3 linked regions of the Arabidopsis thaliana genome follow. The protein of the gene in region 2 interacts with the protein of the main gene of each other region in a pairwise test. Each region holds a gene or a part of one and is shown on either strand. Other genes may lie near its edges.

The links.
Region 1: the proteins of FIP1 (region 2) and PABN1 interact in a two-hybrid assay, tested with the Arabidopsis thaliana proteins (one study listed by BioGRID).
Region 3: the proteins of FIP1 (region 2) and CFIM-25 interact in a two-hybrid assay, tested with the Arabidopsis thaliana proteins (one study listed by BioGRID).

The regions. Positions count from the first base shown.
Region 1 is NC_003076.8:20,776,979-20,782,520, reverse strand, and holds PABN1 (polyadenylate-binding protein 1), read right to left. Parts: upstream 2,861-5,542; 5' UTR 2,762-2,860; coding exon 2,606-2,761; intron 2,507-2,605; coding exon 2,404-2,506; intron 2,325-2,403; coding exon 2,202-2,324; intron 2,135-2,201; coding exon of another isoform or gene 2,126-2,134; coding exon 2,067-2,125; intron 1,823-2,066; coding exon 1,631-1,822; intron 1,547-1,630; coding exon 1,428-1,546; intron 1,326-1,427; coding exon 1,280-1,325; 3' UTR 964-1,279; downstream 1-963. Other genes in the region: AT5G51130 (S-adenosyl-L-methionine-dependent methyltransferases superfamily protein), read right to left, coding at 193-307, 404-625; AT5G51110 (Transcriptional coactivator/pterin dehydratase), read left to right, coding at 3,141-3,515, 3,840-4,035, 4,114-4,205; AT5G51105 (ECA1 gametogenesis family protein (DUF1278)), read right to left, coding at 4,518-4,889.
Region 2 is NC_003070.9:9,848,972-9,855,313, reverse strand, and holds FIP1 (FH interacting protein 1), read left to right. Parts: upstream 1-2,864; 5' UTR 2,865-3,013; coding exon 3,014-3,239; intron 3,240-3,324; coding exon 3,325-3,426; intron 3,427-3,838; coding exon 3,839-4,110; intron 4,111-4,739; coding exon 4,740-4,919; 3' UTR 4,920-4,929; exon of another isoform or gene 4,930-5,181; 3' UTR 5,182-5,470; downstream 5,471-6,342. Other genes in the region: ATJ1 (DNAJ heat shock family protein), read right to left, coding at 59-100, 521-578, 699-716.
Region 3 is NC_003075.7:14,594,359-14,599,554, forward strand, and holds CFIM-25 (homolog of CFIM-25), read right to left. Parts: upstream 3,159-5,196; 5' UTR 2,960-3,158; coding exon 2,775-2,959; intron 2,684-2,774; coding exon 2,638-2,683; intron 2,538-2,637; coding exon 2,444-2,537; intron 2,354-2,443; coding exon 2,280-2,353; intron 2,192-2,279; coding exon 2,105-2,191; intron 2,005-2,104; coding exon 1,894-2,004; intron 1,761-1,893; coding exon 1,689-1,760; 3' UTR 1,322-1,688; downstream 1-1,321. Other genes in the region: MKK2 (MAP kinase kinase 2), read right to left, coding at 1-74, 217-351, 607-718, 807-883; VIP3 (Transducin/WD40 repeat-like superfamily protein), read left to right, coding at 3,370-3,708, 4,173-4,799; MTO2 (Pyridoxal-5'-phosphate-dependent enzyme family protein), read right to left, coding at 5,076-5,196. UniProt on the Arabidopsis thaliana protein: Component of the cleavage factor Im (CFIm) complex that plays a key role in pre-mRNA 3'-processing. Involved in association with CPSF6 or CPSF7 in pre-MRNA 3'-end poly(A) site cleavage and poly(A) addition.

The sequences.
Region 1 (5,542 bases), on a different chromosome or scaffold from region 2:
AGCAAAACAATATCAGCTAACGACTATATAAAATTATGGATGCTGCCAGAGAGATTTCAGACACAATGGAAGTTCAATCACACTTTACTATAGCATTCTCATAAGGACAGGTATAGCTACAACAACATATCTATTACTATAATGGATGGACATAGATAGGAACAAATTATGATATTGATAAGAAGAAGATACCAATATGAATAGTCATGATGCCGCTGTTGCAGCCAATGTCAAGACAGTCTTTGCCTTCAAACCATTCCTTCTTCAACACTTTAAGCCGAGGATCCTCATCCGTGTCATTGCTTATCTAACACATTATGTTGCCAAACGAATCCAAAATCAGATACTAAACCAAAAGATGAGCAGACTATGAAGGAATTTGAAAATATACTACGAAACTCACTCGGTAGCCATAGTAGTTTCTGTAATTTCCGAAGGGATAAACTTCTTGATTCTTCTTCTTCTTGCTTTGATTACAATTTCCTTGTTGTCCTTGTTGTTGCTTCTGCTTCTGCTGTGTTGGGACTTTCTCTTCATTAGCAACTACTTTCTCAACACTCTTCTCATTCTCATTACTTCTGTTTCTCTTCTTCTTATTCTTCTTCTGATCGTTGTCCCGACCCATTTTTTTCTCACACGCGTTGATGAACAAAGCTCGCGAAGTTAGGGTTTCTTCTATGTTATCGCTATCAGCTAGATTCTTAGAATCGAAACAAAACGATTAAGTCTAAACAGAGAGATTCGACGAAGCTAGCTCCTAGAGAGGTTTTTCTTCGAGGTTAAGCGGCGCAGAGCGAGGAGGAAGAAGAAGAAGAAGAACCGAACCGCCTTTGAAAGTCCAAAAGGGTTTAACGAGTCTCATATTTAAGTAATCCTCTCTTTTTTAGTTAATACATTCTTTAAACCTATTTATGTAAATATACGAAAGTTTCCTTTTCTTTCACCGACGTGGCCAAATTAATCTTAGAGAATTAACTTTTGTTTTTTTTTGGTCAATATGCATCAAATCTAGAACAATGGAAGCTTGCGAGTTATTGTGAAATCGTGACTCGTGTTTGAAGATAATAAAAACAAAGGAACTCATCAAAATGTTGCACTTGTCATCAAATATTGTACAGAAAATCTAGAATATAATTCCCCTCTCTCTTCTGCCATACAATTCTTCAACTCATCTCTGTTAATCGAAACAACTGCAGCGTCCGATGAACCGTGTTGATGATGATAAGCTTTCCCGAAAACGGAGAAGCAGCTGCTACTTTTTTAACACCAATTTGCCTAATCAGTACGGTCTGTAGCGCATAGGCCGTCTGAACCTGGGAACTCTCCTGCACAAACCATCAACCATTGTCAATTTTATGAACAACCATGATGAATCAAACAAATGGACTTTAAAAGAGAGGATAGGCAGGTAAGGTTCTAGAACACACCCATAAGCATATGGAGGATAAAATGGAACTCCTGGCATGAATCCCCTCATCGGTCTAAAGGGACGCCCTCTTCCTCGAAATTGCCTCATTCCAGGTACATTAGTCCTCTTTGCAGATACCTGAAAATAGATTAAACAAAGTTTAGTAATGACAAATCGTAATATGGAAAATAATTAACTACATCGTATTGAACGAGTTTGCACCTTTATCTGACGACCATGTAGTTCTGACTCGTTCAAAATAAGCGAATTCTGAACAGCTTCTACTTCCACAAATTCGACATACGCAAAACCTTTAGGTTGACCAAACTTATCTGTCAGAATTGTAACCCTATTCACTGTCCCACATGATTGAAAATGCTGCTGGACTTCCTCTGGAGTACATGCATAGTCCACCTAATATACACAAAAAAACAAAGACACAGGATATCTAAAGAATCAGCTTCACAGATGGGAGATATGAAGGCTTTCTGAAATATGAAGGAAAGTTAGTTTAGCAATTACTAGAGATAAAGAAATAAACAACAAGCAGCCTCCAAATTTCATTGATACCAAAGCAATAAAACACACAAACTTTCTTTAAAAAAGATACAAACATATATGAGAAACATGTGAAAATTAATGGTGGAACAAGCCTCACATTGCCAACATATATTGAACGCGAATCCACTTCTTCCTTCTCAGCCGCACTAACACCACCTGAAGGGTCTTCATTGATATGCAACAACATAAAAGGTATTGACCCAATTAGCTAACTGACAAGACTCCACAATACTATTAATGATTTCCTTCTCATACTCAAACTCCAGTAAATTTCTAGACAGATTCATTGATTCACTAAAAGATTCCAATATGTAAACCCAAAGCAATATCATAATCAACAAGACAAGCTTTAAACCTAATCTATCAATTTAAAGGTTAATGTGAAGCTGCGCACAAAGATTCAAGATTTTACGTATCAGTTAATAAGTACAAACCTTGACTAGCACCCATATCTTTCTCAGCCTTGGCTTGCATTTCACGCAAAGCTCCAGCTTCTTCCTCAATCTCCTTAATTCGTTTCTTCATATCCTCCAAGTCCTATCAAACAATCAAAGCAAATAACAGACTAAATACAGTAAAAAATAAGAAGAGTCTCAATTGGATAAAAGTAAATTATAGATCGAAGAATCACAATACCCTAGAGCTAGAGCCAGGTTCAAGCTCCTCATCTCCGGCGGCGGCACCTTCTTCTCCGCCGTGTTCTTCGTACTCTTCCGTATCCATCTCACCTTCTTCCTCTTCTGGGATCTCTCCACCGTACACCTCATGCTCTTGCTCATCGTGCACCGGCATCTTTCTCTCTCTATATCTCTCACTCGGCGACTGTCGTTAAAGCGAGAAACAGAAGTCTCGGAATTTTAGGGCTTGAAATCGGGAAAGAAGGGAAGGTTTGTTTGTAATTAAAGATACCCAAAAAGGATACTTTCGGAATTATGAAATCTTAAGTAGATTCACCAAAAGTGGACACAAAAGTACAATCAAACCCAATGGGCTTCTCAGATTAAAACGTGACGTGTAAAGTCGGTCCCACGAAAGTTTATTGTGGTTCCCATTAGTCATTAGTGATTACGTGGCACCTCACCCATTTAACTCAGTCCAGTGGTCTGAAAATCGTTTCGCTCTCTAAAAACCAAAACTCTTATCTTCGGTACAGAGCAAATCACAGCTCCCGATGGCCGCCACGTCATCATCACCGCCGTGTAACATCTCCGCGTCCTCCCTCCTCCTCCGTCAACCTTCTCGCTCAATCCTTAAAGTGTTCGGTTTATTACCACCTGTAAGTAGGAATAACCGTAAACTCGGCCGGTTAACGGTGACCCGGTCTAATCTGGCGCAGGATTTTCTTGGTGACTTCGGAGCTCGTGACCCTTACCCGGAGGAGATAGCGAGTCAATTCGGAGATAAAGTGTTGGGATGCCAAAGCACTGAGCACAAGATTTTGATACCAAACGCATCTGTTTTGTCTCTCTCCCAGCTTCAGTGTTCCCCTGTTTCGTCTTCACAGCCTCCTTTGTCCGGCGATGATGCCAGAACTCTCCTCCACAAGGTACTTATACTATTTCTCTCTTAGTATAAAAATGTTCGAGTTTTGATTTTACAAGTTTGTTGGTTGATCAAAATATTGTGAAAATGTTATTGATTCTGCGTTTAACAGATTTCTAATCTATAAAGATAGAATTGTGACCCAAAAATATAGAAAAGCCAATGAAAATTTTAGTATCATGAGGGACATATTAGGAACAATGGTTACGAGATTAAAAAAAAATGAAATGATTAGTGTTGATAAGGCTCATGTTGGTGTTTTGGTTCACGGTTACCACTCTAATGATGTGGTACATCAATCTCAATGATTATTATGTAAACGTTTTAGGTTTTGGGATGGAGTATAGTGGATAATGAAGCGGGTGGTCTGAAAATAAGGTGTATGTGGAAAGTGAGGGATTTTGGGTGCGGTGTTGAACTCATAAACAGGATCCATAAGGTTGCTGAAGCTTCTGGTCATTACCCTTCTCTTCACTTGGAAAGTCCTACCCAAGTTCGAGCTGAACTATTTACCTCTTCTATCGGTATGTCAAATATTTGATGTTCGAGTTTGAGTTTTAATATATGGTTTCTTAAGACGGTTTGTTGGATGAATAATGCAGGAGGGTTGAGCATGAATGATTTCATAATGGCGGCTAAAATAGATGATATCAAGACTTCTGATCTTTCCCCTAGGAAAAGAGCTTGGGCGTGATCTTCTTTTCATTATTTTGGAACATTTTTGTTTGATAGTATGTAATGTATGTGATGTATTCTAAATTGTGTGTGATCGGTCTACATGTCGAGTTATATAGAAAGCATTGTCATAACCGCATAAGAGATATCACGCAACATGTCTTTGAGATTCATTCATCAATCAAAAGAAGAAAGAACATCAATCATATGGAGCACAATATAAGAAATGAGACATTATTATTAGATTAAGACATTATTATTATCATTTCTTCTTCTAGAACATTCTGGGACTAACAAAAAATTCGAAAAAACACAACTACATTTTTGCATTCTAATAGGCGGTGGTGGTTGGAGGACTAGCCATTTTGGAGCATTGGTGTTTCATCATAGGAGGGAAAAACGGGTTGGATGGAAGATTTGGTAAGCAGTTAGCTTCAGCGTCAAGGAAAGCTTTACAACAAGCAGGACCAACGCCTTCAAATTTGCCGGACATTACGGCTTGTTGAATCTCTTCAAAGCATCCCGGCAAATCCATCACTGTTGACCAACATTTGCTCAAGTCGGGACTTCCTGCCATACCGGGACTTGGTTTGAACGGATTTGGAAACGGGAACATGATTGGGGGAAACTGCGGTAGCTGAGCATTAACGGAGGCTGCGATGCATACAACTACTAGGAGAGAAACAACACTCTTGATCGACATGATGAATATTTGGGGGACTATGCAACAAGAGAAATAGATGACTTGAGTTTTGTTTGATGAGATAAAGTTATTGGCTATGAGATCCAATTTATACTGTAATTAGTTTGGCGAAACGTATTTTTAAAAGTTGCTTTCAAAATCAAATTTGTCGTTTTAATTTTGGAAGAAAATCAAAAATAGTCAAAACGTTTGATGCACATTGAATTTGATGCTGTCATATTTCTCATATGTAAAGAAATAAATCTTTCCTAACAATATGATAGGAAATAATACAAAGATGACAGAAGGGAAGCAGTAACAAATTTTAAGTCTCTTTCGTCTTTATTCATCTTGATATATATCATCTCCTAATTTTTTTTTTGAGATTTTATTTACATTCATAGCAAGAAAAAGAAAAAAATCTTTTCAATTTAGGAATTGTTTTTCTTCCAACTTTTTGGAATCCTCTATATAGTAAAAGATGTGGCAAGCCCATAATTGTTCTCATCATTTTTATTTTTCATTTATTGAATATAATATACTCATTGTCAAACACTATTAATTCCACTATCCTTATCCTTATCCTTATTATTTTTTAAACCAAACATATTTTAATATTAAATACACCATCCAAAAATAATATTTTCGGATTTCTAAATATTTAGCTTATAGAA
Region 2 (6,342 bases):
GAATAAAATGATACAAAACATCATTTTATTCATTAGCGTGAATGCAAAAAAACAAGACCTGTAGCGTGAATGTATCGCTCGAACAACGGCTTCTGAGACCCTGCAAAGAGTCAAAACTTCCAAGTAATGAATGCATATTTCCTATAGTCTGTAGATAAACACAAACATCAACTGGAAATTCCCTCATGCCCCTAATGTTAGCTACCACGGAGACCTCGAGATTACATTTCGATTCTTTAAAATCAACTCTTGAGTTACCTTTAATAGTGCCCAATACTTTGATACCCCTTCCTGATAAACCCTAAAACCCCATTTCAGCTAAAATTATCACTACATTAGAAATTCTAATAAACCCCAAAAAACTTGACATTGTCGTTGGTCTGTTGCATATACACCTAAATCAGCTCAGAGAAGGCGATAAACCTCGAAGAGCATATGAATGTCAGTTTTTGATTCCTTTTTGAAACAAGCAAAAATTGACGAAATCAATAACCCTAGTTTAACAACTTTTATACATTACCTTGACGCAATCCGATCGCGGAATCAAAAGTTCTTCGAGCTTGTACATGCCGCAGAACCTACGATATAAACATAAATTACAAAATGATTTCAGCTCTCTCGAGGACTCAATTTCAAAATTGAAAGGAAGAAGAAGAAAACGATGAAGCTAAATCTAGAGAGGGATGAAGAAAACAAACCCAGTTGAATCTTCGCATGACTCTTGTGAATTCAAAGCTAAACAGAGAGGAAAAAACGGAGAGGTTTTTGATTTTGAGAGTTAAACCCTTAGACCATTTCCATGATAAATTCCAAACAAACATAAATCAAAAATATTAAAATAATAATTTTTTAATCAGTTTTTTTTAGAATATTTTCTGAAATGAGAAACTTGGAGAAATTTTATCTCTCTTCCAAATGTCATCTTGTCATTAATTTCTTTTCTTTGTTATAAATAAAATCATTTATATTTTATAACATCAATTAAATACTTTATATGTTTATTTTTTTTTTTTTTTTTACTTTTAAAATTCATAAAATTAAATTATCTATATAACAAGCTCTATTATATATATGTTTAAATTATATACGAATATTATTTAATTGGTGTTAGTTAAGCATTAAACATAATAATAACTTATAAATACAATAGTTTTTTTTTAATTAGAAAACAAACATTTAAAATTTTCTATTTTTATTTTACAACATTTTTGGCAATCGAATTCGACTTCGTGATAGAGATATGCACCAACAACTAAAAGATGACCTAGTTGAGCATATATGACAAAAGTTTGGTGCATTATCAAATGAAGAGTAAAACCATAATAGATAATATAGTTAGTTTTGATTTATGTTATCATGGTTTTATATGTAATTTCTGTGTAATTTATATATTTTTTCTATTTAATTTATGTTATCATGGTTTTATATGGAATTTTATGTTTAATTGATATATTTTTTATTATGATTTTATATGTAAAGTAATGTTTAATTATGTTTAATTATGTTTAATTATGGTTTTAAAAATAATAAAACTATTTAATAATATAATTGTAAAAATAATAATTGATATGTTTGAAAATATTGTAGAGATTTTAAATTTAATATAAAAAACATATAATAATATGTTAATGTTAATGAGATACTCATAAGAGTATTTCACCAATGGAAGCACAATTTTAGTATAAGTTTCTCTACTTAAATTAAAATATTAATAATATATTATGAGGTACTCATGGAGTATCTCACCAATGGAGATGCTCTTACGCATATGCTGACGAGAGACGAGAGAAGAGACGTTCGCTAAATCTTTTGCTTTCTCGCCACTACGTCCAGAGTCTCTCTCTGGTTCAGAAGACTCGAAATGGGTTAAACACGTATTCTCTCATTCTCCGTAGTTAATTAATTTAGTGAAACGGTAAAAACAAAATGGTAAAAAATTGGCGGTCGTTATTTTGTAGCGGTAAAGAAAATAGTGAGTTAGACTATTTACAAGTTAACTGTTTGAATTAAAAGTTGAAAGTGATTTGGAAAAAGATGTTGTAGAATTTCTTCAACACCGTTAATTTTGTGAATAAAATCCTTGTACACATATAGTCTTAGAAAATTTGGAAAAAGGTTTGATAAATGTAACTTAGATGCTGCTTGGATTATAAAAAGTAAGCTTTATGGATACGGACTTGAGTTCCCAAGATCATTTAGGTTCAATCTGATTTTGAGGTTTATATAAGAAGCTTCATTTAAACCGTTGAGTGTTTGAGCTATATGAAACTTCAAAAAAATGTCATTCGTTTAAATACCATCAAGAAGAATGTGAATCAACTTTTCTTTTTGGATGAAAACTAGTTTTTTGATATGGTAACTATGTTTTCAACACAACAAAATTTTATCGTCGAATGTCCGAAATGATAAAGACACTCTTAACCTTCATCGGAAAAAATAGCAATTTTTTGTGGTATATCAATAGCGGTTACAATCTAACTTGTTTTGTTGTTGTTATTATGATTAGAACTGTCAATTGGGTGGACCGCATGTGGGTTTTTACAGTCCAAATACACACGGACGGATTATGGTCTGGACTCCAAACTAAAAAACATAAACCAAGCAATCAAAAAGTTAGAATAAGATATTTTTTAGTTAAAACAAAAATCGTAAGTGAAGAAGGTCTGAATTTCTTGAGGAAGATAAACGGGCACAAAACCGGTGTACATACATGGATTATGGATATGTTCTAGAGGAAAGGTATAATTGAATACTAGTATCCGTTACAGAAACTAATTGCATTAAGTTTCGTCTACTGTTTAAGACCGCACGAGATATATATGTTAGACCGACTTTGGGAAAGAGGCTACTTAAATTATTTACGATTAATAATGCCAACGTAACGCGGACAGACATTTTAATTCAATTATTATTTGTTGCCTGCGAGATTCGAACCATCTCTTATTTCATTACTTAACCCAAACCAAAAAAATAAAAAGTTCATTTCGAAAGAAGAAGAAGAAAACATCAAATCATGAGTGGGCAAGAGAATCATGATCATGGCCGGATCTCTTCTACGCCCGCCGCCGCGTCGGAGCCTTCCAAGGCTGCTGCTCACTCCTCTGACTACGCTCCTTACCCTAAGCTCGATCCTACCGACGTCACTCCTCCTCCTCCTCAGCCTATTCCCACCGGTGCCGCCGCAACCACCATGCCAGCGGAATCCAATCCTTACGTTTCTCCTTCCCCTGCCCCAAGGAGTGAGTTCTTCTTCTCTCTATCCGATTTCGCATCCTAATCCAATTTCTGCCTTTGATTGATTGATTGATCTTGGTTTGGGGACAGATACGATGGATTCGGTGAAGGATACGTTAGGGAAATGGGGGAAAATGGCTGCCGACGCCACCAAGAAGGCGGAGGATCTCGCCGGAAATTTTTGGCAGCACTGTAAGCGCTTCTTCTTCTTCTTCTTCTTCCCCCTCGATTAGATGAATTACCAATTAATCTGATTACCGTCTCTTGGAGAATACGATGGTATTGGTTATGCCCCTTCTGGTTAAGTTAGTGTTCATCAATTGGCGCTTCTTCGGAATTTTACTTCGCGTTCAACCACCGACACTAAATCTAGCCAACAATTTTGATATTCATGCTCTTCCGTTTGAGTTTAAGCCAATTAGTTCTTTGTATCTGGTTATTGCCTTTGACTCTTGAAGCTTCTCTAGTATAGGTTGTTTTGGCTTTATTTCTCCGCTTGTGTGATGAATTAGTATTATATACATATGGTTGGAGGGAGGGATGATATTTTATATGAATTGAGACTTGAGAGTATACGTTTTGATATCTATCCTTTCTTTTTCAGTGAAAACAGGCCCAAGTGTAGCAGATGCTGCTGTTTCACGAATTGCTCAGGGGACAAAAATACTTGCAGAGGGTGGATACGAGAAGGTCTTCAAGCAAACATTTGATTGCCTTCCTGATGAAAAACTTCTCAAGACCTATGCTTGCTACTTGTCTACATCTGCTGGTCCTGTCCTGGGAGTTATGTATCTTTCGACTCACAAGCTTGCGTTCTCTAGTGACAATCCTCTCTCTTACAAAGAGGGTGAGCAGACCCTGTGGAGCTATTACAAGGTATACTCGCTCTCTATCCTATGGTTACTTTTTCTTTCTAACTCTTTTATTTTATATCTATTTACATCTAAGAAAACTATTTGAGAACAAAGATTCAGCGAATGTAATATTTGATGGTGACATGATAAAGCGTTAAGTGAGTTAAGTCATTTTCAATGCATCTATTTACATAGATTCATAGACTATAACAAATTTTCTTGTCATTTCTAGTTATTGACGTATAGAACGTAGTGTGTGTACGCTTATAGTAAATGGAAACTACATAATCATTCTAACGATATTGTTGAGTAGTTGCATGTTAGTTCCTATGTAGACAATTAGGACTTTAGTGGTTTGCCTAAGAGAGTAAGCTAAATCTTGTAGCATTCTTGATAAAACTAGGGGAGCCATTGAATAATTGTTAGTTTGAGAGTTTGGACTGGTTCTAATGTAAACATCTAACATGAGCTGAAATCCTATTAAACCAAGCAGAAAGCTTCTTGACAACATGATCTTTGGAAAACTGATTTTAAGATTTGGGTGGTTCTTGAGAACCTTTTTTCGTTCCTTGAGAACCTTGCACTTGCAGTCTATTTTCTGTCATTCTTCCTTGTAAAGTCTGTGGCTGATGATTTTGATGTGATGATCAGGTGGTACTTCCGGCGAATCAGCTGAAGGCAGTGAACCCATCAACAAGTAGAGTGAACACATCTGATAAATACATACAAGTGATTTCCATCGACAACCACGAGTTCTGGTTTATGGGGTTTGTGACTTATGAAAGCGCTGTGAAGAGCCTTCAAGAAGCGGTGCAGTCACATGGTCCGTGAAGGTCCACTGGTATAAATGGCAGCTCTTAGTGATATTGTGCATTAATATATGGAACAGTGTGTTTTAGTATTTGATACCATTTCAATGTGTTCTACATTTTGTCCTCTTGGCGTTTACTCATAAACATTGCTTTTGTTCATTTCCTTTTGTATAAAATTATTTCTTATTTTTTTTGAGGGAACCTTGTCCTTTAGATCTAACATTCATGATTTGTATTCGTGTTCTAAGTTGGATTCGGTCTTTGGTTTTTGATGAGTTTAGGATTTTAAAGGTGATCAAGTTGGGCGCTATAGACAAAACCAGCATTTAGAAAGCCCAATATATCACCGATGGGCCTTTGAAAAGAGCCCAAATCGATAATAAGCATGCATGGGAGAATTGGTGACACGGGCTCATTACAACACTTTCATCATAGAAGATCCTATGTTTAATGTGTTTAAAACAAATCTGGTATGAGTTTTGGAAGATAGTAACATTGAGTATATATGTGGAAACAAATCTAAATGGTGGGGTTTGTGCAATCGCCTAAATTGTTTTTTACTTGCATTCGTTATATGCAAATATCTAAATGATTAAAACCAAAACCAAAAATATCTAATATGATATATTAAAATATTAAGCTTCATTGTATCATTCTTACGAAGTGACCAACTTTAGAAGTTAGCGAATTGTCTGTCATTAAGCCTATTGCTCCTTGTCGTCTTATTCTTTGCTCACCAACGAGCTACGTCCTTTGAATTTCTTATTAAAGTTGTTAGCATATAAACTATGACTAGTGCCCATCAAATTTGAAGATTTAGCATTTGGACTCTTCTTGTGTTAACTGAACATGGTCAGTCTTACAATATCTATATATTCAATGGTTATCGAGTGATTGTGTCATGAAATGTTAATATAGTTGGATCTTTTAAAAAAAAATGTAAATATAGTTGAACCATATACATCCGTTGAAAACAACAACAGCAAAAACTGATAGCTCTGAACCATCTTTGTAAGAGTGTGTTTGCGACTACGGGAGTCTTGATATCAAACCGAAACCACCCTATATATGAAAAAGCTTCATAAAACCGATTTCTCGATTACTTTAATAAGATGGCATATCGGGTGTTAAATGTGTTTGTGCTACACAAAACAAAGATAATGCGAAGTTTCACACACAAAACCAAAGCCGTAAACGCACAGAAGAAGCTACTTCTCGTGAGCATGAGTTCTCTTCAGACGTTTTACCTCCCCACAATCCATAAGCTACATAAAACCGATCTCCGGTTTCCAGATTAATTTACCATTAGTATTTTACAAAAGTTTGTAAGTAAAAGAAAAATAAGGCAATCATGCAAAATCGAAAAAAAAAAAAGATGGCGAAAAGGAAAAGAAAGTAAGGCGGGAGTGGCAATTCAAAACCAAAATAAAGTAATGAAGAAG
Region 3 (5,196 bases), on a different chromosome or scaffold from region 2:
TGTGACGATTGATTTATTTTGAGCTCTTGTGCAATTGCCTTGCGAATTGCTTCATCAATATTTAGTTGAATGACCTAATCATATAGCATCAGAGTTATGCACAGTGAGTGACAAGGCAAGGAAGAAAAAGATTTGTAAATCTTCAAACACAGAGAAAAGATGAGGAATTTAGCTCATCATATACATAAAAGAATCTGAAGGTTAACCAATGAGTACCTTCAAGGCGAAAAATTGGCCAGTCCATTTGTGTTGAACCAGCTGAACAACACCACTACTTCCTTTGCCAATGACTTTAACCATATCCAAATCCGACAAGCTCAGCTGATCATCAGCTGGCTTAATTGGAGACAGCTGAAACACAGTCGCAAACGAAACAGATTACAAACAGTAATCTAGAAGATATGAGCTTAATCCCTGAGTTTCTCTATCCAGAACTACAGAAATGATCTTAAGAAGGTTCTAATTATGATCAGATCCACCAACCACATTACAGTTAATGCATTCAAACTCAACAAAATCTTCATATGCAGTACAAATAAACAATCAAACCTAACACTCGCGAAATTCAGTAAAATCAGCACCGAACGAGGAAGAGGAAAGACTTACGACTTCAGGCTCCAATTGAGAAATGATTCGAACTCCATCCTTGTTAACACGTAGATCTCCATCCTTAAACGTACCGCTTTGAGTCCTACAGAGAGAACCAAAACCTTTCCTCCTTCAAAAACAAAACCAGAGACATTTCCACACACAAATACATCTATCTATCCACAGATCCATGGAGAAAGAGAGATCGAGAAACATACAGGAATTTGGTGATGGATTGCTCGCCAGCAACAGGAATTGCGAGCTTGAGATTATTGCTGAATCCACCTTTCTTCATCGTCTTCGTCTACTTCGTTCTTCGCTTCTTCCTTTTTGTTGTTTCCTCGTCATTATATATTAAGTAAAACACAGTTTTAAGCATAATTCATGTACTTTTCAGCCAGAAATTGGAATTTGGAAATAAAACAGCCATTAATTAATATTAGTCAAGCACATGTTCACGACGTTGACCAACGACTTAGAGACTTTCCCATTTACTACTTCTTTTTCCCGGTTTTCTTTGACCGAAAAGTTTTAATCCACATTTTAACCGGAAACAAACCGGTTAATTCAGTGATTCTTCGTTCTTTAGCTTTTGGTTTTTAAACACTCCCAAAATCACCACTACAACAAAACGCTAACGCAGAATGCCAAACTAACGTTTGATATTTATAGAAAGTTTTCAATATTTCAAATATTGTTTGATCAAATACAATAAACACATATAACAAACAGTAAAATCTTTACTTATGTTTCTCGGTTTCATGTTTGAAGATAACAAGGTTTTCTTCAACAAGGAATATACAAATAAGCATACACCCCTATATTTGTTTTACTCATGTATACATTCAATTACACATCGAAATTATCACACAAAGAAAAATTGTTTCGAATTGATTAATCTATCTATCAGTATACTTCATGTCTAGTCTCTATAACCAACAAGAACATGCTATTCTTCAACATTGTCTATATATTATAAGCCCTATATACATTATATAGTCACAGACTCAGAGAGGCTCCACAAACGATTTCCCCAAACATAATCCTATCACAAATTGCGGGGGGCAAGAGCTACTAGAGGCAATGATCATGAGGTTCGTTCATATCTCCATCATGTTGAAGGAGAATTTCGAAAGAAGCTTAGGAATTTGCGACATGATCGGCCCATAAGTCTGCAACGCATAAATGAAACATCACAACACATAATTAAATACAGCTTGATTGACTGACCCTGTTAGTTTTACCAGGAACATCGATTAAAAGTTCACGATGAGTTAAGGGCAATGCAAGTAAGATAGTACATACCTTTTCATTTTCATGGAGTTGACACAATGGAACAGCGAGGAGTTTGAAGTTCTTAGGCACAACAAACTGTTGATGTACCGGTAATCTCACAAGAAAAAGCTTTGTGCATTCCTACACAAAAGATGAGGATAGAGCAGAGCTTTTAGTATAAGCGCAAATCTTCAAAAGTCTCAACTTTTTCTTACAATGAAAGTGAAACTAACTAACCAACCTTTGGGTGTTTAATATTAGGTGGCAAGAAAGGATACATCAATGTCTCAAAGTTGGGTCTCCACCACATCCCAATACATTCTCCTACCTACAACAATGTTGTAATTAGAGAGACCATTCTTAAGCCAGAAACAATCAGATACAAAAGCACTTTAACAAGAAGCCATAGTTCCTACCTCATAACCCGAAACACCCACATTTTCGTTAACCGATAGCTTTGATGCTAGTTTCCGTTTTAGACCTTCAATATCTAGAAGATTAAGGAGAAACATGACTTTAGCGTTTAGAATTGAGACAGCGATATTTATGCATAAAGATGCAAGGAAACAGCATACTAAACCTGATTCTCCAGGTCTCAAACGACCACCAGGAAGCTTGAAAATGGAGTTTCTATATTGAAGAAGCAAAACATGAGGATGCTTGAACAACTCAACCTGATGTGTCCCAACATTAGATTTTAATCAATCCTTTCAAACCAATTTTCCCTGTAAAACTTTTCAAAATCCCTAATTTGGCTACCAACTATAAAATTACCAGAAGAACAGCTTCAACGCAAGTTCTCAATCCATGAGCAGCATAACTTCAAAAGAAACAAAAAAGAAACTTTAGCTATAGATTAAAACAATAAGAAAAAAACCAGATGATCTAAATCACATCAAAACTCGATTTACTTGGATTTCAATCTGATGACTCGATCAGAGATAATCTCGTCCTTGACGCGAAGAGCTTCTTTTGAACCGAAGTAGTAGCTGCTAAGCGGGTATAAATCAACCATCAAGTCATGAACGACATCGTTTCGTCTCGTCGTGTTGTCACTGATCTCCTCCATATCTAACGCTCGAGCTTCTTCACCCATTTTCTGCCCGTAAAATTCAAAGACGAGAGCTAAAAGCGATCTCAATCGATTAAAATTAAATAACAGAGAGACCACGAGAGCAGAGAAGACGCAAGAAGAAGAGTGAAGAAAGGTGTCGTAGTCGGATCACTGAGACGTGGCGGCTCCAGAGAGTACTTCTCCGCAATTAGCTGACGACGGCGGGAGAGTGAGGAAGAAGATATTAATGGGCCTGTTACGATATTAATGGGCCTTTAGTAGTAAACAAGAATACGGAACGATGTTAAACACTCTATTGTTTCCAACTACTAAAAACGACGCGAGTTTCTATTTTATAACTAAAAAACGAGAATCAAAGTCTCTGTTTCAAATTTGGGTCTTTTGCTTCTTCTTGCTCACTTGAGGAAACACAGTAAAAACCTAAAAAGAGAATGAAACTCGCAGGTCTGAAATCGATCGAGAACGCTCACGAAGATTCCGTTTGGGCAGCGACGTGGGTTCCGGCGACGGAAGATCGACCGGCGTTGCTTCTGACTGGATCTCTTGACGAGACGGTGAAGTTATGGCGACCGGACGAGCTGGATCTTGTGCGGACTAATACTGGACACTCTTTGGGAGTAGCAGCTTTGGCTGCGCATCCTTCTGGGATTATTGCAGCATCTTCTTCGATTGATAGCTTTGTCCGTGTGTTTGATGTTGATACTAATGCTACGATTGCTGTTTTGGAAGCTCCTCCTTCTGAGGTTTGGGGAATGCAATTTGAACCTAAGGTAATTGACTCAATGAGATTGCCTCCAATTTTAGGGTTTTGAAGGATTTTGGGTTGTTTTGTGGTGAAAGAATTCGATTGCTTCATTGAATTTCACTTCTTAGTTGCGAGTAATGCTTCTCCTGATCTATATAACAATGCTTGGGTACTATATGGAATTGCTGAGTATCGTTTGAATCTGTAGCTCTGATCAGATAGGGTCATCTACTCTGCTCGGAAAATAGATCTAGATCATCTTCTGATTTTTCATTGAGTCTTATATAGTAGATTAAGAACAATTTATTGGTGCTTTGATGATAAATCTTGATTTGGTATGATAGAATTTTGACCTGGTGACTATCAAGTATCAGTGCAATGATCTCTCTTTTAGTTTGCAGTGGAGTTTTTATTTGCTTCTGAGCTTATAATTTCAACATTACTCTTTAGAATGGTGCTCTGCTAACATAGTATTTTACATGTTCCAAGGGTACGATCCTTGCTGTTGCAGGTGGAAGTAGTGCCTCAGTCAAGCTTTGGGACACTGCAAGCTGGAGATTAATCTCAACTCTATCAATCCCACGCCCAGATGCACCAAAACCTTCCGATAAAACCAGCAGCAAGAAATTCGTTCTCTCGGTGGCTTGGTCTCCTAATGGGAAACGACTTGCTTGTGGTTCAATGGATGGTACGATCTGTGTTTTTGATGTTGACCGCTCAAAGCTACTTCACCAGCTAGAAGGTCACAATATGCCTGTAAGGTCCCTTGTGTTCTCCCCTGTAGACCCGAGAGTCCTCTTCTCTGGATCAGATGATGGGCATGTGAACATGCACGATGCAGAAGGGAAAACGCTGTTGGGGTCCATGTCAGGGCACACGAGTTGGGTGCTGAGCGTTGATGCTAGCCCAGACGGTGGAGCCATAGCAACCGGCTCAAGCGATAGAACTGTGAGGCTATGGGATCTTAAAATGAGAGCTGCGATTCAGACAATGAGCAACCACAATGACCAGGTTTGGTCTGTGGCCTTTAGACCACCAGGTGGAACCGGTGTCCGGGCTGGTCGACTTGCTAGTGTCTCTGATGACAAGAGTGTATCGCTCTATGATTACTCATGAACAATTCGGTTTTTTGACTTTTTTCTTTTATGCATTCTCCAAGACGCATCTAGTTGTAACAATATAATCTGCAACAGGTTGATTTTGACCGGAGTCTTTAGATTTATCGCTTACACAAAAAACAAAGAAGATAAAATGATTCAAACTTTGCGATAGAACTTTATTGGAAAACTGAGAAACAGATAAAGATCACAGAGAGATGAGTTGAAGAGTAACGCAAACAAACGTCTAAAAGTTTTCAAAAAACAAAACAGCTAAAGATTATGGTCTTGTCTCTTATGACGTAAGTGTATTACTTCCTAAGTAACTCTTGAGAACATCCATGACAGCTCCGAAATCTGCTTTCACATCAACAGGAGGATTGGAGAATCTGCAAGCCATGTCAGGGATGGCATTG